Linked DNA regions of Oryzias latipes. The protein of the gene in region 6 purifies or fractionates together with the protein of the main gene of each other region. This does not show direct contact. Links are inferred from orthologs where the notes say so. Each region holds a gene or a part of one and is shown on either strand. Other genes may lie near its edges.

Evidence for each region.
Region 1: the proteins of znhit2 (region 6) and ruvbl2 purify together in Homo sapiens (affinity purification with mass spectrometry; 5 studies listed by BioGRID and IntAct, counting the BioPlex papers as one, with this or other methods). This does not show direct contact. The link is inferred for Oryzias latipes from reciprocal best matches to the Homo sapiens genes ZNHIT2 and RUVBL2.
Region 2: the proteins of znhit2 (region 6) and eftud2 purify together in Homo sapiens (affinity purification with mass spectrometry; 4 studies listed by BioGRID and IntAct, with this or other methods). This does not show direct contact. The link is inferred for Oryzias latipes from reciprocal best matches to the Homo sapiens genes ZNHIT2 and EFTUD2.
Region 3: the proteins of znhit2 (region 6) and ecd purify together in Homo sapiens (affinity purification with mass spectrometry; 3 studies listed by BioGRID and IntAct, counting the BioPlex papers as one, with this or other methods). This does not show direct contact. The link is inferred for Oryzias latipes from reciprocal best matches to the Homo sapiens genes ZNHIT2 and ECD.
Region 4: the proteins of znhit2 (region 6) and tssc4 purify together in Homo sapiens (affinity purification with mass spectrometry; 3 studies listed by BioGRID and IntAct, counting the BioPlex papers as one, with this or other methods). This does not show direct contact. The link is inferred for Oryzias latipes from reciprocal best matches to the Homo sapiens genes ZNHIT2 and TSSC4.
Region 5: the proteins of znhit2 (region 6) and aar2 purify together in Homo sapiens (affinity purification with mass spectrometry; 3 studies listed by BioGRID and IntAct, counting the BioPlex papers as one, with this or other methods). This does not show direct contact. The link is inferred for Oryzias latipes from reciprocal best matches to the Homo sapiens genes ZNHIT2 and AAR2.

The regions. Positions count from the first base shown.
Region 1 is NC_019872.2:21,690,832-21,694,840, forward strand, and holds the start of ruvbl2 (ruvB-like 2), read right to left. Parts: upstream 2,801-4,009; 5' UTR 2,691-2,800; intron 1,919-2,690; coding exon 1,864-1,918; intron 1,693-1,863; coding exon 1,637-1,692; intron 1,198-1,636; coding exon 1,056-1,197; intron 958-1,055; coding exon 828-957; intron 751-827; coding exon 684-750; intron 579-683; coding exon 472-578; intron 364-471; coding exon 270-363; intron 1-269. UniProt on the Homo sapiens protein: Possesses single-stranded DNA-stimulated ATPase and ATP-dependent DNA helicase (5' to 3') activity; hexamerization is thought to be critical for ATP hydrolysis and adjacent subunits in the ring-like structure contribute to the ATPase activity.
Region 2 is NC_019866.2:5,485,554-5,489,053, forward strand, and holds part of eftud2 (116 kDa U5 small nuclear ribonucleoprotein component), read right to left. Parts: coding exon 3,474-3,500; intron 3,386-3,473; coding exon 3,303-3,385; intron 2,166-3,302; coding exon 1,999-2,165; intron 1,846-1,998; coding exon 1,721-1,845; intron 1,642-1,720; coding exon 1,578-1,641; intron 1,506-1,577; coding exon 1,415-1,505; intron 1,304-1,414; coding exon 1,168-1,303; intron 463-1,167; coding exon 335-462; intron 226-334; coding exon 32-225; intron 1-31. UniProt on the Homo sapiens protein: Required for pre-mRNA splicing as component of the spliceosome, including pre-catalytic, catalytic and post-catalytic spliceosomal complexes. Component of the U5 snRNP and the U4/U6-U5 tri-snRNP complex, a building block of the spliceosome.
Region 3 is NC_019873.2:17,934,722-17,938,778, forward strand, and holds the start of ecd (protein ecdysoneless homolog), read left to right. Parts: upstream 1-1,257; 5' UTR 1,258-1,391; intron 1,392-1,587; 5' UTR 1,588-1,619; coding exon 1,620-1,824; intron 1,825-1,903; coding exon 1,904-2,021; intron 2,022-2,122; coding exon 2,123-2,210; intron 2,211-2,849; coding exon 2,850-3,028; intron 3,029-3,186; coding exon 3,187-3,379; intron 3,380-3,493; coding exon 3,494-3,622; intron 3,623-3,733; coding exon 3,734-3,862; intron 3,863-3,969; coding exon 3,970-4,055; intron 4,056-4,057. Other genes in the region: protein FAM149B1, read right to left, coding at 465-511. UniProt on the Homo sapiens protein: Regulator of p53/TP53 stability and function. Inhibits MDM2-mediated degradation of p53/TP53 possibly by cooperating in part with TXNIP. May be involved transcriptional regulation. In vitro has intrinsic transactivation activity enhanced by EP300.
Region 4 is NC_019861.2:37,264,295-37,268,589, forward strand, and holds the start of tssc4 (protein TSSC4), read right to left. Parts: upstream 2,801-4,295; 5' UTR 2,704-2,800; intron 844-2,703; 5' UTR 774-843; coding exon 15-773; 3' UTR 1-14. Other genes in the region: shcbp1 (SHC SH2 domain-binding protein 1), read left to right, coding at 3,009-3,141, 4,043-4,252. UniProt on the Homo sapiens protein: Protein associated with the U5 snRNP, during its maturation and its post-splicing recycling and which is required for spliceosomal tri-snRNP complex assembly in the nucleus.
Region 5 is NC_019865.2:15,451,661-15,455,765, forward strand, and holds the start of aar2 (protein AAR2 homolog), read right to left. Parts: upstream 2,801-4,105; 5' UTR 2,531-2,800; intron 1,974-2,530; 5' UTR 1,839-1,973; intron 1,604-1,838; 5' UTR 1,547-1,603; intron 1,217-1,546; 5' UTR 1,076-1,216; intron 979-1,075; 5' UTR 1-978. UniProt on the Homo sapiens protein: Component of the U5 snRNP complex that is required for spliceosome assembly and for pre-mRNA splicing.
Region 6 is NC_019873.2:16,399,167-16,403,219, reverse strand, and holds znhit2 (zinc finger HIT domain-containing protein 2), read right to left. Parts: upstream 2,670-4,053; 5' UTR 2,559-2,669; exon of another isoform or gene 2,555-2,558; intron 2,331-2,554; 5' UTR 2,273-2,330; coding exon 566-2,272; 3' UTR 501-565; downstream 1-500. Other genes in the region: lrpprc (leucine-rich PPR motif-containing protein, mitochondrial), read right to left, coding at 1-30. UniProt on the Homo sapiens protein: May act as a bridging factor mediating the interaction between the R2TP/Prefoldin-like (R2TP/PFDL) complex and U5 small nuclear ribonucleoprotein (U5 snRNP).

The DNA.
Region 1 (4,009 bases), on a different chromosome or scaffold from region 6:
TGTGTAAAGAACAGAGAGGGGATTAATTGACAAGGTCAACAGCCAATCAGGACGCACAACACAGTGCTGTAAAAAGAAAAAAAAAACGTGCAGAATTGCAGTAAAAGAAAGCGAAAGGTGAACTGTGATATAGCAAGGGAACCCTGAAATCATAGTATTCATTATAATCTTCAAGTGATAACACTTACAGAGGCTTCAGGTGGACTTTGTATTTGACTATAACCCAAATTCAAAGTATGGTATTCAACTGTCCCATGCAGAGATCTTACCTGGGCTCCCATGGCGTCGTAGTCTCTGGCTCTAGTGAAGGAGCGCCCCAACTTGGAGATTTTCCCGGTGGCTTTGTCAATGGTAATAACATCACTAAAAAGTGTGTTTAAAGACAAACAAGAAAAGCTCCATTTAGATAGGACTGAGAAAAAAACAAAACCCAAACCTTTATATTGCTTTATGAGGAGAAGATGAACTCACCCGGCTTGAACTTTCTCTTTACTGAGGCTTTCAATCATCTTGTTCCCCAAGTCATATATTGTCTCCATCTCTGTAGTCTTCAGAGTCAGCTTCCCCACCTTTGCACCCTGATTAAAGCAAACCAGCTCAACATGAGGCGAATCAGCTAAATAAATCAACGTTTTCTAAAGCTATGGTATGGAAAGACTGTTTATGAAGTGAAAGGATCTTACTGTTCCAGTGGCGGGTCTGTCAATCTGGATTTCTACCACCTCCCCTTCAATGATTTCTGTCTCCTCTCTGGATTTATGGGGGGGAAGAGAGCGGACTTAATTTCTATCCAAAAAAAACAACCTAAACCTTGTTTATATACTTACTTGATTCTCACTCCTATAGCTTTTCTAAAAGCTTGGCTCAGTGCTTCAGTTTTGCTCATTTCCAGGGAAAAGATCTCACTTCCAGCCAGAGCTGTAAAGGGGGTGTCAGGGCCCAAAGACTGAGCAATACCTGTAGATGAAAGAAAAACATGCAACAAGCCTCAAATAGCCAACAGAACTTTGCCTCAGGTGGAAACTTGTATGCATCATTTCTGGTCCCATGCTCACCCATAGCAATAGCCGTCTTCCCCGTGCCCGGCTGGCCAGCAATCAGAACGGCCCTGCCGGCGATGTGTCCGTCTTTGATCATCTCCAGGATTATCCCTGCTGCTCGACGGGAGGCCAGCTGGCCGACCATCCCCTGTGACACCTGCAGGTGAACAGGGAACTCAACTCGTTCAGCAGCAAATATGCCTCATTCGGATTTTATCCTTTGACTTAAGGGACATTTTGAATGCTTTAAACAAGCTGCTAAAAGACTTTCCTGTTGGAATCACAACATGTGGGTTTAGTGCTGACAACAGGGCTTTAGAATCAAGTCTCGCTTTGCTACTTGACTACCTCTATACTGCTTCATGTTGTTTCCACACACAACAAAACATTAAAAGGTACATTCGAAACATTTTAACCTCTCAAGTTTAACAGCAGTTTAAAAATATCCAAATATGTTTTCCTCTGTTAAGTTTTTGCCTTTTTAAAGGACATGAATTACAAAAAAAAGCCATAATTTTATCAAAACTACAAACACCTAAAACTACTGAAGTCTTGGGTCAAAACAGAGATCAACAAACAGAAGTGCTGCACGTTACCTGTCTGGGCTCCAAAGCATCGTCCAAACCAAGGCCCCGAATGTGAGAGTGGGCCCCTAACCACACAAAGATGAAACTATTACACAAAATATTACAAACATACGGGAAATCATAGCAAAAATAAATACACACAGCTCATGTAGAGATAAGGCATGTTCTAAAGTTTACCATTCAATTTAAGCTTACCATTTATTTCTAAAGTGTTGAAAATCTGCATGGGGTCTTACCTATTCTTTCAATCCGTGTAATGTCCCGAACCTCTGGCACTTTTGTAGTTGCCATCTGTAGAATAATACATCAATGACAAGAAGAAAACAAAAAAATGCAAAGAAACATTTTTAAAACAATTTGCCTCATCGTAAACAAAAGAACAAATATTTTCAGAGGAGTTTAGGCCTTCGTTGATCTTTGACTAAATCTTAAGAGCATTTTTTATTGTTTGTTTAAAAATCCTGCTTATGAAAAAGAACAGCAAGAATTCCTTATGTGTGTGTTCAAATATCGATGACACTTTTGGATGTTTATCGTTTCCAAAGAGAGTTAAAATTTGCATCCTCCATTCACCAATGTTTTAGTGTTTTCCACATAGACTTTGTCAAAGCAATATAAATGTGGAATTCCTTTTATGCTCCACTTGTCCTGTCCGTTGTCATAGTGACAGCAATGAATGACCACACACAACACAACAGCAAAGCTTAGTCAACACTCTTTGACATTTTAAAATATATATACGCATATTTGTGAAACATATCTAGGAAGGAAAGTATTAGTAAATCAGGTTTAGAAAAATTGACACTTCACTGAAATTAGTTTATTTTCTAATATGAATACGGGGGGAGAAAATCGACAGGTAACATCAGCTAACGATATTAGCAAACAAGCTAGCATCATTCACACCGTTCATAACGCAAAACAACAGCACACGCCATATTAGCCGGGTAATAAAAGCCTGCATGACACGCGGAAGTACTTAAAAATAAATTGGCTATACTACTTGGGTGAAAATATTAAAGTCCAAATTGATTTTAACATCTACTACAAACTCAGGACTCACCTCCGCAGCCACACTTAAAAAACGTGAGAAGCGCCGCTTCTTTCTCAGGGAGTACTGGTTAAATGTGTCCGACAAGAAACATGCGAAGCCGTTCAGTTCCGCTACTAGAGTTTATTGGGACTGCCCTCTATAGACTCAAATGTGAATTACAAATCTGGCGTAAAAGCCCGGATTTGTTTTTGAGATGAAAGCTACGTTTTTGTCTTGATCGTCACGATAATGATAACCTGAAAATACTTAAATACTTCGAAATTATCTTTCTGTGTGTCAAATTTACTACCTAACAAATAATGTTTTTGGCATTTTTGATACCTATAACTATTAGAACTGAAATTTTAAGCATTCAAATACAGATTAAAGATTAGAAAGAAAAATAAACTCAGGTTGCTAATAATTTAAGACCTGGATTGCAGTCATCTGAACAAAATAAAACCAAGGAATCTAAAATTGTAGTTTAAAAAAATACTTTAAACTTAAAGAAATGCATAAGAAAACGTCACATTTTAAACAACTTATCATGCTGTTACCTTGAAAAAAAGATAATTAAACCTAAAACATCACAAATATTCATATATTTATTTCCCAACAAATGTAAAAATATGATCATGCATTAAAAAACATGTACTCCCTTAATATGCACTGCTTTTATAATGTGTGCTTGAAGTCCTTATGGTAATTTTCTCTCTTTATCATGACTTATATAATCCATAGGTGATCTCCTGAACCAAAACTGGTCAGAGAAACTAAGAGGTTTCAAAAACTTTCCATTTTGACCCAAAAGAAACCCTGTTGGTTTGCAGAGGATGTGACTAAACCTGATTAGTCTGAAGAAAAGCCCAGCAGCACTGCACAGATTTTTCCACTAGAGGATGCAAGATTAATGTTGTGCAAGGATCCTCATATAGACAAAGTTATAGTAAGAGATCTACTAATAAACCAAAGTTATAGGATTGATGACAGAAGCCACATGAAACTAAATGATGCTTGTAGAGATATTTCAGTTAGAGGGAGTAAGTGTAAACAACCCCTACATAAGGTATGAAGTGTAGGAATGGGTGTTGTTTCTTATTATTTACCTTGTAAAAAAACTGCATCTCCCTTTTTTATTTGCCAAGTCTGAGGATAATCTCTTTATCCTCAGAGAAATTGTTGAAAATGTTTAGACGAAATAACTCGAAGGAGCAGACCCCTCTGAAGTGCTACAGAGGGGGTCTTAATATCCTTTCCATAAATCATCAAATTCAACCCTCAAGGCTGAAGGGTTCCAGATCATAATGTTTCATTCAGGAAACAGATGGATGCTGAAAATGACAGGTTCT
Region 2 (3,500 bases), on a different chromosome or scaffold from region 6:
CAAACAAAATTCAGTAAACGTGGAAGCAAACCTGGCCACAGAGATCCAGAGGCGGCCGACGGTGCAGACGGAAGAGTCCTCCTCATCCTCCAGAGAATAGTTCTCCCCCAAAACTTTAACGGGCTGACCTGCCTGAATGGTACCACTCAGAACACGCCCGAATGCGTGAAACTGCACCCCGTCCTCAGTGCTGTACATTTTAGTGGTGTGGCACATGAGAGGACCCTAATTCAGAAGCAAGAAGGGACAGAAGATTGTAAAATCATTTACTTGTTGTTGGGAATTACCTTTAAAACAGCTGGGGGGTTCAGAGGATAGCTTTTTTTCTACTCACATCAGGGTCACATTCTGCCATGGCCTCCCCCAGGTCTGAATCCAGGCCTCCAGTGTAGGTGTGCTCTATCTTAATCCTAGCGCCCTCTTGTGGTGATGGGACATGTTGCACACACATGTCCACAAAACCTGCCAGAGAACAGCAGAACAACTTTTTAATGTGACCTTTCACCTCCGTACCAATATCTAGGGCTGTGGATCCCTACAAAAGAAAAAAATAAACATGTTTTACAGTTTGACTTGTTTTTTTTTCATCTTTAGTGGAAATACCCAAAAAAAGTCCCGCATTTTAGGTGAACGCATTTCGGTTACAGCGTGTCCGCCATGCAAGCAGACGTCACACATTTGATCACCAGATTTCATAATATTCTTCATCAAATATTCATTATATTTTTATTCAAATTGTCAACTACATTCAAAACAAATTGGGTTTTTTTTTAATATTATTTTAGTAAACTGAACTTCAGTCTCGTTTTTTTATCTACAAAAAACACGATAGTTTTCCTTTAAAAATGAGAACTTTCCCCAACCCTTTATATTCTAATTTTATTTACTTCCAGTGACAGTAGCACACACGGTTTGTTTAGTTTATATAATTAAAATACAACTTTATTTTACATTTTATGAGCGACATTGCCTGCAGAACATTTTAAAATACTTTACTACGGTATGTTTATAAGGATCACATATTAATAATCTTGAATATTGTTTTTATTCTGGAACAGATCACACATATCTAAAGTTTTCTGATATCTTTACAGCCCTAAACACTTCTCTCAGAGGTAGTCTACATAAAATCGACTGTATTTATCTACAGATGAGAGAAAAGCCCACCGGTGAATTCTCCAAAGAAGCGGTTACAGACCAGCCTCAGCAGAGGTCTGATGTTCAGCTTCAGTTCCTCCTTCGACAGGTGGATCCCCAGCTCATCCAGAACTCGGGGCAGGGATGTGTCCACATCCCCGACAACCTACAGCAAAGAGGATTTGGGAAAGGATTACACACTCGGCACTGAGCTGGTTGTGATGCCTTCATCTGAGGAGGAAAGAAAAAAAAACGAAAAAGGCAAGATGTGTCGAACCTGTGAGAGGATCTTGTAGAGAGGCTCCAGGATAAACTCCACAAAGCTGCGCTGAGAGTTACTGCTGGGAGCTTTCTTAGTGAACTTACGACTGAAAAGAGAAGAGGAAATGAATCGAGGATGTCTTTCTCTGTGCTGAAGTCAACCAAATCTGGTTACTGACGTTTTGGGATTGAAGTAAATGTCTCCCCAGAGTCTCTTGGCAAATTCATTATAGTTGATATCTCCTACAAGCATAAGAGCAGGTGTTAGCTGACAGTGTGGGAGCTGCACTATTAATGATGGGTTTATAGTACATCATCTAACCGTGTGTGTCAGAGTAGATCTTCGCAAAGGATCCGAGAGTGAAGCAAATGCTGTACTGAGAGCTGGCGAAGCAGACATTTCCAAGGAGGGGAGACACCACCAGGTTCTCGTCTGTGGAGTACGTACTGAAAGAGAAGAGAATGGATAACAAGAAAAAACAAAAACAAAAGGCCCGTTATCAAGCTAGTTACAACCATCCTTATTGTTATTTATTCTTTAACAGCAAGAATAAAATCCACTTAACGGGGCAGTAGCGATTAGTGGACTTGAACAATTACCTGAGCAAACCGTTGACCTCATCCACAATGTGACGAAGTTTATAATATGCATCTGTAGGAGGCAATTTGAGCTCCACGATGAGACGATCCACCTTGTTGATGCAGATGGTGATGGCCATGCGCTCCTGAACGGCGTGTTTGATCAGACGCTCTGTGTTCAGCATCACCTGAAACGAAAAACATCCATGAAAAATAAAATACAAACGTCCTCCAAATCCCAAATTAACAGACAACACTAACGAGAACATTAAGTATGAAATGTTTTTCATACAAAGAAATTTACCCTTTGCCTGAAGGAGAAACCAAATATCATGAAATCACACTACTGATGTTTGCCAATGATTCAGTGAACTAATAATAAACAGTAATTTATTGTATGCAATCATAAATGCAAAACATTTCAACTAAAAAACCAACTGCAATATTTTTATGAAATACTTTAATATGAACAGAGAACAAGGAAATTTCTCTTAAAATATCATGCACATTTTTGCCAACATAGATATAAAGGCAACATTGATCCTTTTCCACCAGAACATCAATGGGGACCTTTCTGTGTGGAGTTTGCATGTTCTCCCCGTGCATGCATGTGTTTTCTCCGGGGTCTCTGGCTTCCTCCCACTGTCCAAAAACCTGCTTTATAGGTTAATTGGTTAATCTAAATTGTCCCTAGGTGTGAGTGTGAGAGTGAATGGGTATGTGTTTGTGGACATTCTACCCTGCAACAGACTGCCAACCTGTCCAGGGCGCCCCCCTGCCTTCGCCCACAAGTGGCCGGGATAGGCTCCGGCAGCCCCGTGACCCCGAAAGGGACAAAACGGAATAGAAAATGAATGAATGAATGAATTTCTTGTTTATTTACAAAAATGTTTTGTTTTGTTTTTAATTCCAGTTGGTTTAATAATTTGATTTCCTGTTTTTATGTTTGTATAAACTTCAACTTTAACAAAAAAGCTGTTAGAACAGTTGAAACATTTTCTCTTTTGAAACTTTAATGGATTCCTTTGCTTTTTTTATTTTTGCTTAACCTGATTTACATTGTTGTTTTTATAGTAATTTGGAGTTTTGTTCATTTCCCTGGCAAATGTGAAAATGGTCTTTTGGACACAGTGGGGAGTTTTGCATTTGGTATTTTGTATGTGCAATATTTGTTAATGAAGTTAAAACAAAAATTTTAAAAACTTTGTAACTTCCTATTTGTCAAAAAAGTTTGATATTAATTATTAGAGCGGAAAAAAGGCAATAATGCGGAATCTGGACATCTTGGAGTGTAAGGGAAAAAGAGACAGTAATATGGATCATACTCCCTCTGCTGCATCGATGAAGAGGACAACACCGTCTGAGATCCTCATGCTTGCTGTGACCTCGTCAGAGAAGTTCACGTGACCTTAGATGAAAACACAAAGTTGGATTTTTTGGTTGTCTTCCTGACAAAGGGCTCACATGTAAAACAAAGTTAGGCTAAAATGCAACACCTGGAGTATCCATGATGTTGAACAAAT
Region 3 (4,057 bases), about 1.5 Mb from region 6:
GCCACCTTTGGCCCCAGAGCCTCAGATTGCTGATCAGCCTGAGCAACCTTCTGTTCATTTTCAACACCAATAAACTCATCTGGGGGGAAAAAAAACAAAACATAAAAAACAGGAGATTTTTAATCAACTCCGTTGGTGTATTTGATTCTTTTACATTGATATTTTAAAGTTAAGTTTGATTTTAATTTATAGTAACTTTTGTTTAACTTTAGAAGTATTTATCATGCTTTTGTCTAAGGGGTATCATCATCAGGCTGTGACACACAGCTCAGATAATCCAAAAGTATTCTTGATTGATTTTTAAGTAAAATACGAAACAACTTTTGAGCCTTTTTTCTGTTGTTGTTGATAGTCGATTATGCTAACAGTCCTTCATGCAGAGCACAACTATTTAATTATGAAGCACAGATGAGGAAAAATCCTGAACTTAACATTTGTGTTGTGTGTGGTAGTACTGTACTCACATTTCAAGCTTATGCGAAACGGGTCTTCTGGTGTATCGTGAAATCATTCTCCGGCTTGTATCTCTGCTCTATGATCGGCTAAATCCATCATTTCTCGTCCCTGCCTCCGCTCCAGAGGATCTTGTGGAAAAGTCTAATATTCCTGGCACAACGTTCCTCTGACAAGATGACTCCACGACTGAACAGACAAAAGAATGCTAATGCTCTGTTTAGTGTCATGAGATGCTAAAAATATCAGCTAACCAGCGTGAACAACATCCCTGCAAAATATCAACAGGGCACAAACAACGTTGCAAAATGATGTTCTAGCGTTGTTCTAGCAATGTTATAATGGCACACACAAGCCATCTACAAGCGTTCTATACTAACCATATTTAATACATTTGTTTGTTTTTGCTGTGAGAGGACTGAATGCTAGTACTAGCTAAACCACTGGCAACAATAACGCCGCTGTCATGGATACCAATTGTGTTGAACGCGCTTCTTCATGGGAAATGCAGTTAATTCACAATCTGTGTTGAGCTTAATCAATGAAAACCTACTTCAACTCCCAGCATGCATTGTAACTGGTGGTTTGTACGTCTAGAAAAAGCTTCCGTTATGTTTAGTGGACATTGACAAATTCCAAAAGACTTACTTGAGAATTTAACATAACCACATCATTTTAATATGAGTTTAATAAAAACATTTATATTTTTATTTTTTTGTGTTTATCTAGAAGGGGTATTATTCGCATGTTTTTAAGAAAGCGGAACTTAAAGACGATGGTAGGAACCCGGTTGTAGAGTGTAGTCGGCTTGATATTACCGACGGATCAATCAGTGGCAGAAAGCATCGTGGATGTGTCGTTTTGTAAACATGATTGAAGAATTTTTTGTCATTATTTTTTTCTTTCAATCACATCAACGTAATTTATAGTAAGACAGGGTAAGCTTCAATCCTAAAGTATGTTTATGCAAATTACGTCGTTACGTAATAATTGAGTTTAGCTAACTGTAAACGGACTACAGTGGTAACTTGTCTTTAGTTCTTTCTCTGTTGTGTTGTGCAGTTGGACATACATTGTGACCTTACTTTGCTTATCGCACGTGCACACTAGTTTATTGTTCATTCCTTCCAACAGGTTGCGTGCAAAAGTACAGAAATTGAACAAAAATGGATCTTTTACAAAGAAGGGTATTTCAGGATGATATGGTCCAATACAATCTCTTCTTGCTACCTGCGGATCATTCAACTCTTCAGCAGAACGAGCGACGACTTAAAGAGATGCTTGGAGAGATTTTTGCAAAGCTTGCCCCCATGTTGGTGGAATATATTTGGCAACATCAACCATTCAATCTGAAGTATCATCCATCCAAAGGTAATGGATGGTTATATGATCTATGTTCACTTTAATAGCTTTCTAACTATTAACTTTTGTATATTCCGTTTGCAAACAGGAGACATCCCGGCTCACATTGGAGGCATCACTCAGTTTGGGGACAACGTGGAGGATGAGTGGTTTATCGTTTACCTTCTGCAGCAGATCACAAAGACTTTCTCAGATCTGGTTGTCAGGTGAAGAATATATATGTATTTGAAGTTATATTTTCTTCTTTAAACTAATTCTTGCCAACATTACTTTGGTTTGTTCCCAAATATAATTAATTTTTACTCAGTGTTGAAGACAACGACGGGGAATTTATTCTCATCGAAGCTGCAGATTATCTTCCCAAATGGTTGAGCCCCGATACAAGTGAAAACAGGGTGAGTCAGACACACAGAGGGGCAAATAGTGTGTTTTATATCATATTTCTATACTTTTGAAAGGTGATGGATTACTCTCAGAAAGAGTTTTGATCAGATTTATAGTGAAACCTCTTGAGTCAGAAAAACAGATGATAAAATGTAATATGTTGCAGTATTGCAAAATATTGATAAGCATCTTTAAAATAATTATAACCGGAGAGCTTTCAATATGATGTGAAGAATAAAAAGGGATGGATGACATTGGATTTTTCTGATGTTTTCAATTTGTTGATTGATACCAATAAATTCTATTAACACCTGTGTTTTGACTTGATAAAAATATGTAACCAAATCTCCCCTATTTTTAAAGTTTGTTTTTTTTTACCTCACAACGCATCCCTGCTCCTTTACAAGGAAACAGATTTATTATAATTATAATCTATTATAATATATATTTTTTTTTAGATAGATGCAGCTCTTTTTTTAGCTGAGTAAAAGTTCTGATTTTTTCATTTGAAATGAACAGGGGTAGAAAGTCTTGTGCAATAAAATCTTACAATTTCTGCAAAAACCCACTGAAGTCAATGTATAGCTTGTGACAACCCACCTTCGATAGTTTAAGTGTTAATTATTATAATTTTTTTCAATCTTTTGCAGGTTTTTCTCTTTAGGGGAGAGTTGCACATCATTCCTCGCCCTTCCAAATCGAGTTCTGTGGGCTTCCCACGTAATGTGGTCCCCAGTGTGGAACAGGCTCTCGCACTTCTCTCTGCTCACCCAGAAGCTTGCCAAGCAAGCCCCGGGATACGTTCAGCCCTGAGAAAAAGACTTGTGGGGTGATGCATAAAGAAGACCTTTTAGTATTTCTGCCGCTAAATTTTACATCATATCATTGTGGGTTAAATAATGTGAGAGTGTATACGTTTTTTGCTGACTTAAATCTTTGTAAATGATGGATTGAATTCCAAACCAAAAACCATTTGCTTCTCCTCAGATACCCAGAGAAGATAAAAAGCGGCCTCCACCGTGCTCACTGCTTCATACCGGCAGGAATCGCCACCGTGTTGGCGCATCGTCCTGACCTGGTGGCACCTGCCGTCTCAGCTTTTTATTTAAGAGATCCAGTCGACCTGCAGGCATGTCGGAGCTTCAAGACGTTTCACCCCGACACCAGAGTCCTCACCTCGGTAATGACACGACGACCCGAGTTCTGCTGGATGAGCATGCAGACGAGGTTTTAGCTCAGTTTTGATATCATAAGCACAGAATACCTTCTAAGATTCACCTTTACTCATTTCCAGGTTACGTTTACCCGCTGCCTCTATGCCCAGCTGCAGCAGCAGCAGTTCACGCCAGATCGGAGGAGTGGCTTTAACCTTCCTCCGCGCACTCATCCTCACTACAAAGCCCATGAGCTTGGCATGAAACTGGTTAATCCTTTTTCTTTGTCTTCATCTTCGCATGCTTTGGTTGTGAGCACACACCTTTGTGTTTTCTGTGTAACACGAAGCCTCGTGTCTGTGTTTGGGCTCCACTTTCAGGCTCACGGCTTTGAGATTTTGTGCTCCAGGTGCAGACTTCCTTCTTCAGGGCCCGACGACGCTGCTGTCAGCTGTAACCCTCAGTGGAAAAGCTTCCTGAAAAGTCTCCAAAAGAATGACTACTTCCGGGTTGGTTCACATTTGTTAACAGTTTTGTTTTTTATGAAATGCATTCATGAGGATGATTTGTTTATTCAGTGCTTTTAATTAATTGTTAAATTCGTTTCCAAATGCAGGGGGAGCTGGAAGGTTCGGCCCGGTTTAAAGAGCTTTTAAGATCAGCAGAAGTTTTCTTCAAACAATCCGTTGCTTCAAAATCTAGGT
Region 4 (4,295 bases), on a different chromosome or scaffold from region 6:
TCAAATCGAGCATTTTAGCACTCATCCTTGTGATCCGAGCTCCTTCTGTAGCTCTTCCTCTTCATTTTCTTGAAGGGGGTGAAGCTGGGGAGGGACTCCTGCTGGTCTCTGACCTCCTCTGCATCCTGCTGGGTCTTTCCAGCAGCCTTGTTGTCCTCCTCCTCTTCCTCAGCCAGGTGACTGAGGTGCAGTCTCTTCTCCTTTCCTTGCTGGTCTGACTCAGAGATTTCTTCCTTGAACGCTCGTTTGGGTTTAGAGAAGACCACCTTTTGCTGCTGGTCGTGGGGGGGTTCACCGGGGGGGCGGTTGCCCTCTTCAGGCCGCAGACTGGACAGGAAGTTGTGCGCCGCCCTGCGGTTCTCCTGATCAGTGGTCTCCTTCACGTCCTCCAGGCTGTAGCGCGTCCAGCGATCAGGGTGCAGCAGGTAGTCCGGGACCCCCCTCTTCTTTGCAGGAGGGGGACATTTGGGAGGGGGCATGCTCTCCTCGGGGAGCAGAGGTGCCGTCTGCCTCTCGACGCCATCCAGGCAGTCGAAGACGCTGCGGCTGCGGTCGGAGAACGCAGAGTTCCCTCCGCTCAAGACGAACGTGCTCGCAGTTGAGCGGGTGGCGCCGAGAGCGCACGCCTCCTCGCCCCCGTCGTCGCTGTCATCCAGCTCCGGGTCAAAGGGCGCCCGGCTCAGCTCTTCCTCGGGCTCCGACTCGTCACTGGCCGACAGCTCAAAGCCTTCTTGGTCGTCGCCGCAGCTCTGGACGCATTTCTGCTGCGACATCTTCAGCCGCGGCTGCAGCCGAACCCCGAGCCGCGAGGAAGACAAACCCGGTCAGGTGGGAACCCCAAAACTGTAGAGGAAGACACCAAAGGTCAGGCCACCCCATCAAACCTGCATGGACTGGTTTTAACATCTACCAAAACAACAACAAGCTGCTAGGACCTGTGAGGACGGACCACCGAGCATCCAACAGTAAATATGAGGGTTTTGGAAATAACCTGTAAAATAATAATGATCCTCTATGTTTACATCCATTTTAAAAGCAAGCATAATTATTTAAGTCCTAATTCTGTTCAATTCAAAACAAACTTGAAATAAATGTTTTGAAATAATGACCCAATAAAAGGTCAATAATTACAAGAATGCGCACGTGCAGCCAGTGCTGAACGTTGTCATTGGCTGCACGGACCCACAGGAAGGGTCAAGGTTAGGATTTCGGTAAGTTCAGGCAGGTATCCAGGAAGCACGTTTAAACTAGCCTGACTTTAAGCCTGAACTCTGGCTGAAATCCGCCTGAACTTGCTTACTCTGGGTATGTCGGTATGACCAGATTTGAGTTAGTGTAATTACGCTGGACTTGGTAACCCTAACTCAAACTCCCCAACCATCAAATCAGAGAATATTTGAATGAAACGTCCTTTCCCTACATCTCAAATTCAAATTATATAACCCAATATTTCAATAATTCAGAAAAGAAACAAATACGAACCAAATATTTCAAACTCCCCATCCCTCCTAAAGCCAAGGAAGTCAATTTTAAAACCTTTTCAGGTATTTTACCCTTCCAAGGAATTACTAAGAAAACGGTTTGGAATTCCTGAAAACTGCTGTTCTTTTTGTCATGATGACATTGAAACAACTGAGCATCTTTTCTTTGAATGTTTTGACTCTAATGTCTTTTGGAATTATTGGCTTTTCCCCCAAATCCCACATTTAGCAGACTTTTCTATTAAGGACATCATTTTTGGGTTTAATTTAAAAAACAAAAAAACACAGAACTTATTTTAAATGTTGTAATTATTTTGGGTAAATTCTATATACATAAATGTCAATTCCTTGAAATCCAACCATATTCTTTTACATTTCATAAAGAACTCTGCTCTTTTTTTCATCTGCAAACTTCATGGAAATCAAACTTGCTATGGAACTTCAAAGTATTATATGTAACTTGCAGCTTTTTGAGAACCCCCCAAGTCAAGAATCATTAAAATGTCTATGTGACCCCCTTTTTATTTTAATTTCTTTTATTTAATTTTTTTTCGGTATTATTGTTATATTTTTATTTTATCCTGCCTATGTTGTTTGTTCATGTCCTGTACTTTTTCTACTTTTCTATACTTGTCATAATTGTATACAATTGTTACAAATTGTAAACCTCAAGTGTTTTTTCAATTAAAAAAAAAGCTAAAAATAAAGAAAATACCCCCCTGGTTCCTGAGCGGCTGTTTCTGCAGCTCTCCGCTCCTCCAGGATCAAAGTACAATTTTCTCACAGTTAATGGGATTTTAACTTTAAATATGTTTTCCATAACTTTGTTTTCTAGTAAAAATACGTGCGAACAACAATAATAACATCATCATGATCATCAGCCTTAACAGCGCATGAATTAAAACATCTGTTTCATCTCATATATGAATTTTTTTTGTGCCTAAAAAACTAAAGCTTTTGTTTTGATTTTATTTAAAAAGATTGGCAATAAAAATAAAAATAACTCGGAATATTGACTTCGTAAAAACAAGATTCAGACTGAAGTTAGTTAGCATGCTAAGTAGCACGATGCTAGTAGTAGCGCGACATGCTAACAACGTTACAAATGCTTATAAACAAAACAAAAATGCTGTCTAGCCGAAAAGAGCTGCGAAATGCGCTGTTGTTTACATGACAAATATTTATATAATACGCGTAGTTTTGACTTAAATCCCGTTTGTACCTTTGAAATAGCGCAGACCGCCGGCCGAAACCCTCTTCTTCTACGGTAGATCGTGTAATGTTTACGTCATTACTGCCCCCTAACGATTGTCCTGTGGTACTGCAGACCGAGCCGATCCGCGCATGTAAAAAAACAAGGGCGGGTCTTTATATAGCTCCCTGCTGTGATTGGCTGAGCTGCAGCAGACCGGGATCTTTTGAAAGTGTCAGGGCGTGGGCTCAGAACTCCGCTTGTTGTTTCAAAGCTCCAAGTGCCGCGTGATCCTCATTTAATCCCGTTAAACCGAGACTCTGGCGAGCGTTTCAATGGAGTTCGAAGCCCTGGAAACCGGGTGTACCGTCAGCGACGTGTCGGACTTGGTGGTGGTCGATCTGGATCCTCAGGTCGAGACGGACAGCGTTTGCTCCGCGGGACCCGGTTTATTGGATGTAGCGCAAGGTTTGTTACGTTACCGTTTTTGGTTTGAGTTTTCTTTCCTCCGAGTCGGTGTATGAGACAAGCTAACCGCTGCCGTCGAGGTTTGCTAGCTTGGAGATTTAGCAGACTTTTTATCCGAGTTTCCGGCGGTCTGTGAACGCAGCGTCTTCATATGTCGTCAGCCTGAGCTGCATTCTCGGAACTGTCAATCTTGCAGGATTTTCCAAACTTAACCCAAATACGACAAATAATTATATTTCACTCTCATCTGAGTAGACATTAACGGATGTTGAAATAAACAAATAACACAATTATGTTATTACAAAAACAAAATATACCTATAGAAGACCGCAAAAGGGGTGTCAGACTGTTTCTTTTTTTTTTTTTAAGATATCCTGCCTTATCTGCTACTGATTACCTGGATCAGGTGTGCTTCATGGCAGGTTGGTTGGACAACATGTAGGACACCGGCCCTCGAGGCCTGGAGTTTGACACCTGGAAAACGGGGGTGTAAATAAATTCATTTATTTGTGTATGTAGACACAGTATTTGTGACTCTTTTGTTGATTCTATGAAGTTGTTTAACAGATTGTTAAATAAAAGAGAAGAGAAAATATCTGCTTTCATGAGGATTTTGACACAGGAGGACCGGAAAAAGCCTTAAAACCTGTTAACTTACTAAAAATACAGCAATTAAGGACAAAAATAACATTTAAAATGCCTATGAAATTATTATTAAAATTAGAGTTGAAAGCATATTTTTTAAAATAGCAAAATAACTTTATAAATGAGTTAAATCAATGCAAACATTTTTTTTAAAGTCCTTCAAAGTTTAAAAAAGCATTAACAGTCTTTTATTTTGAAAAGTGGCGCTGGACAAACTTTCACAGCCATCATTCATGACCTCCGCTGGGTTCTGCAGCTCTGTTCCAGAACGATGATGCTGGAGACGTCAGTGACGAAGACGAGGATGACGACGACGACAGCGGGACAGACCACCAGAACTCTGAGAGGTCGGGGACGCAGCTGCAGAGGTCGGAGCGGCGGTCAGGAGCGACTCTGCCGGACACCTTCCAGACCGGCAGCCTGCTGTTCTACGAGAGGTTCAAGGCGTACCAGGACTACATGCTGGGTAACGGGGGACCCCAACGCTCGCATGGAGGCGGTTATATTAC
Region 5 (4,105 bases), on a different chromosome or scaffold from region 6:
TTTGTGTCACAAATAACCTCCTAAAATAAAATACAAGTGTCCTGAATATTGGAAAGGATTACCCAGAACGTCCCACAGACAGTCACAGACTAGTGAAGAAGCTGCTTCAGGGGAGTGTTGTTAAGGAACAAAAACGCATTTCTGCGTCGCTGTAAATGTTACGAAAACAAACAATGAAAAGAGTATAATTCTGACTAAGAACTGCCCTTCGCACTTTTTTTTTTACTAACATGCAAAGAACAAAAGCTACTTTACGATAATGTTCAGATTCGTGGCGAATTCGCTTCGCGGACTCTCGGCTGTAAACACTGGCGGACGCTGCGTAACACCTTATTTGTTCCGTCGGAAACATTCTTTTTAAGAACAGTTCCACTCTTTAAGATTTCCTTTTATAAAAAACAACAAAACCAACAATTTCCTCTCTAATAAAAGTATTAATAAATATTCAGTATTTTATTAAATGAAATTACAGTAAAAAAGACAGGAAATATGTATAATGTCAATATGTCATTCAAAAAAAACATGCTACAAAGAATGAAAATGTGCATATTTTACTGGAGAACATCTGAATGGTGAGTGAATACTTTTTAGCTTATCTTGGCTTATTAGGAAACAATTCATATTGCAAAGAGGAATGCTGACATGCAGTGGATGGCGTTTTTTTAATCACAAAACTCGGAGATCTCGACAACTGTTAAAAAAAGGAGGAATAAAACAACTTGAGCATTCCAATAAAAGAGGAAGCCGTTTTTTTTTTTACAAAGTCTATCTTGACCAGATTGGAAGAACCATCTGGAAATTTGAGTGCATAGAGTAGCACGGGTCCTAGGGACCAAAGTCATACTATTTATCAGAGGGTACGACACTTTTGAGTTTTTCCCAACATCTAATCAATGCCTTTATGGTTTTGATCACCCTAAATCTCTTGCCTTTTCTCCCTTGTATTTTTTGGGCAGATGAACAGGGGTTTTTCTTTCCCTAGAAGTAAAAGAAAAAAAGAAAAAAAAGATAAATTAGTTCAGATTTTTAAGTTTTTTTGCATACTTCAAAGATCTGCATCGGTACTTTTTCTCACCATATAATTAGGACTGCAGTTTTGAACGATGAGCTGCTCCATGTTTTCTATTGGCTTTTTCAGGTCAGACAGCTTCTTGCCGCTCTTCAAACAGAGGACCTGCTGTGTGTTAATGTATATGGACACAAGGATGCGATGTGCCTGCCATGAGATGGCAGGAAAAAGGAGAAAACAGACAGCATTTAAAGACCTTGATAACAAACAATGCAAGTATTTGGGTAGACAAAACTTGCCAAACTAAACAAATATGTCACATCAGGGTTAAAGAAATCTCCTTTTTTGTTTTTTTGTTTTTACTTTTAATATTGTTTTTTTTTTTTTAAAGCAAAATATTTTTAAATGTTCTATTTTAACAGTTTTCTGTAATTTGTTTCCATTTTTGTTACTACGTTTACTGCATTTGTTGTGTGTGTGATTTCCGTTTTACAGCCACCAAACTACATCTAATGTACCTATAGCATTGATGCTCACCTTTGCAGAGGGGCAGGGATCTCTCCCTTTGGATGAGTTGTGAGAAACAGTCAAATTCTGAAAAACATTAGTCATCAAAAATATTATTTTAGAAATCCAGTTTCATCTCATTCAAAGTGTGGGAAAATTCGTTTTGAGGCTTTTCTTTGTGTGTGTGTTGCAAAACAAACACTGGAGGGCAGTCTCTAACCATATATTCCAACACTTTTCTTAGTGTCAGCTGTAGGTAAAAGGCTGTTGAATATAAACAAACATTGAAATTCTTATTTTGCGGTCAGTTTGGTCGTCATACCAGATTCTGCAGCTCAACGAAGATGACTTCTCTGTAGAAGCCCAGTATGTCTTTGTAGTTACATTTACTTTTACCAGATGAGTTGGCCAACAAGAGAACCACCAGGACACTGTGGAGTAGAGTTCCGGTCAGACACTGCATAAAAGAAAGAGGTGTGGAAGTACCTTAAATGCAGCCCAGTGAAGACTGAATAAAATCACTCGGCTCCTGGGCATCTTTGTATCACATGACAGAAAGACAAAGTGCACAGACTTTGGCATTAAAATGCTCTGAAATCCACTTTTCCCAAGTCATAGTCTGGTTTTAAGTCTTTGGTTACAAGTCAAATCCAAAATGTTGGAAATTATTTTTAAAAATGTGTGATTCTCACTAATGTCATTACAGTATTTTAAACCACCTAATAGTGACACATACAGCACAAAAATATTAGACCTCAATCTGTTTTTTTTTTTTAAGGTAAAACTAAAAATAAACTAAGAATGTTCTCAAGTCCTCAAAGTCTAGTCTGATGCTCTTGAAGTTAAGGTTTCAGTCTTAAATAGGCTTTCAAGTCTTAAATCCCTGCCTTTGAAACTGAAGTGAGACTCAAGTCCGAGTCTCAGGTTTAATTCTCAATCTCTGCTTTGGCATCAAAGCACTAAAACAACTCACTTTGTCACTGTGCGTGCGTAATTACGCACCAGTGCGCTTACCATTTATTATGCTCTTCAGCAGGATCCTCAGACGAGCAAACCTATGTCTGACAGTGACTTGCAGGTTCGTGGAATTAACGCTCCAGCTGCTCTCATTATCCTTCTGCTTCCTCTCGGTACTGTCTGCACTGCACACTTTCTCAGGTGCAGAGGTCAGAGCTGCAGCGGGGTCAGTCACAGCCGACGCAGCGCTGCGTCTTTCCAGCATCACCCAGGCTGCTGCTGCTGCTGCTCAATTTCCTCCCCGTCATGGACTACTGACGCTGGGTTTAGGATTTCATCAAATTCCAGTCGGTTCAGGTCGAGGAAACTCCTGCAATCAATCATCTGCCTTTGTGCTTTCGGTTTCGTTTGGAAGATAGGACACTAAAAGAGAAGCTTTTCTTCTCATCAACTAGCGTTACTTTCTAATAATAATGGTATTAATGAATAAAAGTTTAGAGGTCTAGTTTATGGTTGAATGATAAAATAAAGAAACCCTTTATTTGTGATTTAGACAAAAAAAATGAGAAACCACATTTTATAACAATAAACAACTATGGGAACCGACTGCGGGGGTGGGGGTGGTGGGGGTAACTGAACTGGTCCAGCAGAACATTTCCTACAATGAAAGTTTTTGTTCTCCCATATTCTCACATTTTATTCTGACATCTGAAAAACACTTTTATAGAAAGAAAGTTATATTTCAGCTGCATTGATGTAAAAATACAAGAATCAGCATTTAATTCAGTTTGAGAAATATTTTTTTGTCATTTAATGACAGAAACTTTGAGAACTGTCTAATCCTGTGGAACAAATGCAAATTTTATTCATGAAATCTAAATGAGATATTAGTGTAATTTAAGATCTCACCAGATAATTACTGCTGAATTGAGACTCAAAAGTTTAAAAAAAACTTTTTCTAGATGCATGAAGAGACTTCTCTTGAATATTGTAGCTGCTATGTTTAGCCTTACTTTGAAAACATCATTTGCAGATCATCGTCTGTCTCACTGAGTTTGGAGTCAGAATTCCCCTCAACCAAACATTCACTTCAGAAGGTCTGCATTGTTTGTTTGGGAGTAAAGACACAAAAATTAAAAGTTGAACAAACCAAACATGGAGTTTTTACATTGTCATTTTGCACACTCTATTGCGTAAAGTTTTACAGATTTCTTTCAAATTGCAGGGCAAAGCAGGATTGGGTCTTTTGCACAGGGGGACGGGAATGCATGCGCTAATTTCTGGCCAGAAACTTTAAGAACAGACATGAACCTCAACAAAAAAGAAGGTCTGAGCTAACTCTATCTAGACTCCCTGAACAATACAAAGGGGTGTCATTGTCAGAGGAAAAAGTTGGTCTCACTGATTATAACAGAAACAAAGTCTAAAAAATGAATTCATATTTCTGTTTATTTACTTAATCCTTGGTGATCCATAAGTTCAAAGATACTTCTAAGCTCTTTGAACCTTCATGGCTTCATGCTAATAAGAAATATAGGAGCATTCAGGTCAAAATTAGAACTAAAGAGAGACAAATGAAACAATTTGTGTTTATTTTTGGGGAGTGGGATTATACCGGGTGCGGCGTAGAAA
Region 6 (4,053 bases):
TAACCGGGCTGATCTCAAGAGCGCTGCCATGTTTTCTGTAGCTGCGTAGAGGAAGATCCGCAACACGTGAGCGGAAATATCGCGAGAGTGTCTGTTATGACCAAGTTCCTGATCATTGCTCTGAAAAATGTTAACAGAAACGACTAATACTTCCACTAAGTCTTTTTTTTTTTCAAATTCAAATACTATCATTTGAATCAAATTTTCTTAAACGCTTTTATTTATAATCTGTTTTAATAAAATGTTGCTTTACATTTTCTTTGTGATAGGGTGATGCCTACAACTGTGGCCTCAAAAATCAGATGTTTATTCACGTAATATTGTTTTAAAAGCTTTGTATAGTTATATTCCTAATTTTCCAATGATTTCAACTTTTTATTACTTTAACTCTATGCATTTAAAACGTTTACATTTCTAAATGGAAAGAGGCTTTTTTAATTTAGTAATTGGACATCCAAAATTGCTGTTTTGAGTTTTAATTTTTTACACAAACACCAATATTCAATTTTCTGTAAACTTTATTACAAAACAGATCTTAAAATCAACACATTAAACAAAATATACATCAGTTTAGTTCCTCGATGAGCTCTGTGTCGTCTTTCTTTCCCTTTTCTTTTTTCCGATTTTCTTCAACAAAAGCCTTGGCTTGGTCCATGCAGTTTCTTAAACTCTCTCTTTTACTGTGCTCACTCCACAACTCAATGGCCAGCCTTTGAATCTGATGTTCATTCTCCAACACCCAGGCTTGATAGAACTCACACTTTTTAATAGCTTGAAAGAACTTCTGTCTCTTTGCAGCATCGTCTCCCTCTTTGGACAGAGTTTTTCTGGTATTTGAAAGAATCATGCGAAGCTGGTTTAATGCAGACAGGCAGTATCCTGTTGGATCTCGTTTGTTTTTGCCAGTCATGATATGGGCAACCGCTTCCACTGCCATAGCTGGAGCTAGAGGATCCTCTTTGTCAAGATACCCTCCTCCTAAGATGAGAGGCTGTACACAGTCTATAGCTTCTTGGACAGAGCTAAACACTTTACTTGAATGGAGGGCTTCAGACAGAGCAAGGATCATCTCACAGAACTCTAAAATCAGAGAATCAGTGTCTCCATTAAATCGGCAGAGAGTAAAGGCATAGCTATAAAGAGTATTCACTAGACTGTAGCAAACCAGAGGAGATGGATTTGCACACAGGGAACTTAACTTTGGAATTTTTGCAGAAACTGGAGGAACTCTAGCTGAACTTCCTTCGCTTTGACGTGTCTCTTTTTTGTTTCTCCTTTTATTTTTCAGCTTTGAAGTTGATTCTCTCGCTGGTTCGACTTCTTGAGATGTCTTGACTTTGTTATTGTCCCCCTGCAGATTTGTAACTGTAGTAGTTTCTCTCTCCAGTTTGCCCTCTTCTCCTTGAATCATCTCCACCAGTTCTTTATGTTCCTCCTCATGGTCCTCCCACCAAGGCTTCCACAGAGGAACCAGCCCCCAAAGTCTTCCATTCTTCATCAGACCCATAAATGACTCTCTCTCTTTACTGTTGAGAAGGTCCCACAGCTCGTCTTCCGATAGTTTATCGATATCCAGCCCTTTCAGTCGTTCTGTGAGGTCCAACTTCTCTTCTGCATCATCATCAGAGTCTCCAGACATTGGATCTGCTCCTCCAATCTCCTCAAGTTTTCTCAGAATGGCTTCAATCTCGGTTGAATTCTCTTCCTCCGACTGCTGAAGCTGTGCTAACTTGGACAAAAGTTCCATAACCTGAATTTTTTCTTCCTCCTCATCAGAGTTGTCTTTTACAATACCCTCTTCCTTTAGCACACGTTCCATCCCTCCTTCAGTCATTTCTCCCTTTTGTTGAATTCCCAACAAAATCTCTTGCATTCTCCTTCTTCCCTCACTTTCTGTCTTTCCCATTTTCTTCAGCTCCTGAAGAACAGACTCCTTGTAAAACTCCTCTGAACAGGAGGTGTGCTCCCGGCTCTGATAGCATGCCAACCCACAGTATTGGAGGTTACAACGAGGACAGGTATAACGAGAAGGTTTACATTTACAAAACGTACATGCTGTTATTGTGTTATTTTGAGCCTCCCCGTAGCAAATCTTGGCTGGAGAGAGAAACCCCTCTGTGTTGGATGCAGAGCCTCTAGACGGGAGGAGAATCCCATCTCTGGTCGTTGGTTCGGATTCTGTATCAGTCCATTCCTCCTTTGGATCGATGTTAGTCAGAAGACTCTCTACCGACGGGGGTAGTCTACGTCTAATTAGCGAATTCATCATCATAGATGGAAAACTGGTTCCAAGGAAGGCATGAAAGAGCAGAGTTTTCTGAAGCAGTCACCTGGGAACATAAACACGTTTTATTAGGGCTTTGATTCTTACTGAAAAGCTTAAACTAACGACAGCAACACGCTAACTCCAGACAAACTGACATTTACTGGACGATACAAACGCAAAAAAAAAACAATTTTTGTATTTTTAAATGTTACTAAATGGCATAAAAACACAATTTAAAGCCTTAAAATGAGTTATATTGTATTAATAAAGTAACCAAACAAGCTTTACCTACTTTAGCTAACAGCATTAGCATTAGCACTGTCACGGTAAGCTCACTGCCCCGGTCCACTTTTGTTTTCATCATCATCAAGCCGTCGAATGTTGATGACGTCAACATTCGTTTCTAATCTTTTATAAACAAAAACAAAAAAATTCAAATAGTTATTTCATAATTATTTTCATCTCAACAAAAACTGTAAGAAAATTTTATTTTTTTCCATTTAAGATATATTTGCTATTAACTTCATATCAGTTAAAAACAGTTAATTTGGTATTAACTTTTATTAAACTGCTATTAACTTTTCTGTGTTGCTATTGAATCTAAGATAGATAGATAGATAGATAGATAGATAGATAGATAGATAGATAGATAGATAGATAGATAGATAGATAGATAGATAGATAGATAGATAGATAGATAGATAGATAGATAGATAGATAGATAGATAGATAGATAGATAGATAGATAGATAGATAGATAGATAGATAGATAGATAGATAGATAGATAGATAGATAGATAGATAGATAGATACTTTATTTATCTTGCAATATTTATAGGATCAATGCAAAATAAATAAAGTGTCTATGGCTGCACTGTGGCACAGTGGTTAGCGCTCTTCCTCCATTGCCTGAACCAGAACACCAATGGGGGACCTTTCTGTGTGGAGTTTGCATGTTCTCCCCGTGCATGTGTGGGTTATCTCCGGGGTCTCCAGCTTCCTCCCAGTCAAAAACATGCTTCATAGGTCAATTGGTCACTCTAATTTGTCCCTAGGTGTTAATGTGAGTGGGTGTGTGACAGACTGGCAAACTGTCCAGGGTGTCCCCTGCCTTCGCCCACAAGTGGTCAGGATAGGCTCTGGCAGCCCCGTGACCCCGAAAGGGATAAAACGGTAGAAAATGAATGAAAACTATAAATATGCACTTGAACTGCATTTAAGATTTTCAGAATAGAATGGTGAAGCTGATCAGTCCATCGCTTTGCAAAAATAAGTCTATTCAAGTAAACGTCAAGTATATTTAGCCTATTCTTAATTTTTGGCAGCATACTTGAAATCTACTTTTTCTGTAATATCTATATATTGTAAACTTAAAATGTTCCAATTCAGTCTGAAAAAGTATTCAGTTAATATACTTCCCACACTACACATACAGTTTATGGTCTACAGTACAATTGCTATACTTATACTTAAGTAGACGTAATAAAATAAATTTCAAGTACTGTTTGATGTACGATTCCCGATGAAGAAAAAACATTTTAATGATTCCTGCTGGTTCTTCAACTAGGCTATCTGTAAAACAGCAGTCCAACAGTTTGGCCTGAATTGGAATATACTATAGAAAAAATCATTTTAGCGAATTAGTTACATTTTTGATGTTGCGTTGTAATTGTGCTTAAAAAAATAAAATAAAATGGTACTGTAAAAATCTTATACTGAAGAGTTACACATTGTTCTTATTTTCAATGCTATGAAAATGTTTGCAATGTCAATTTTCTGTGTCGGTT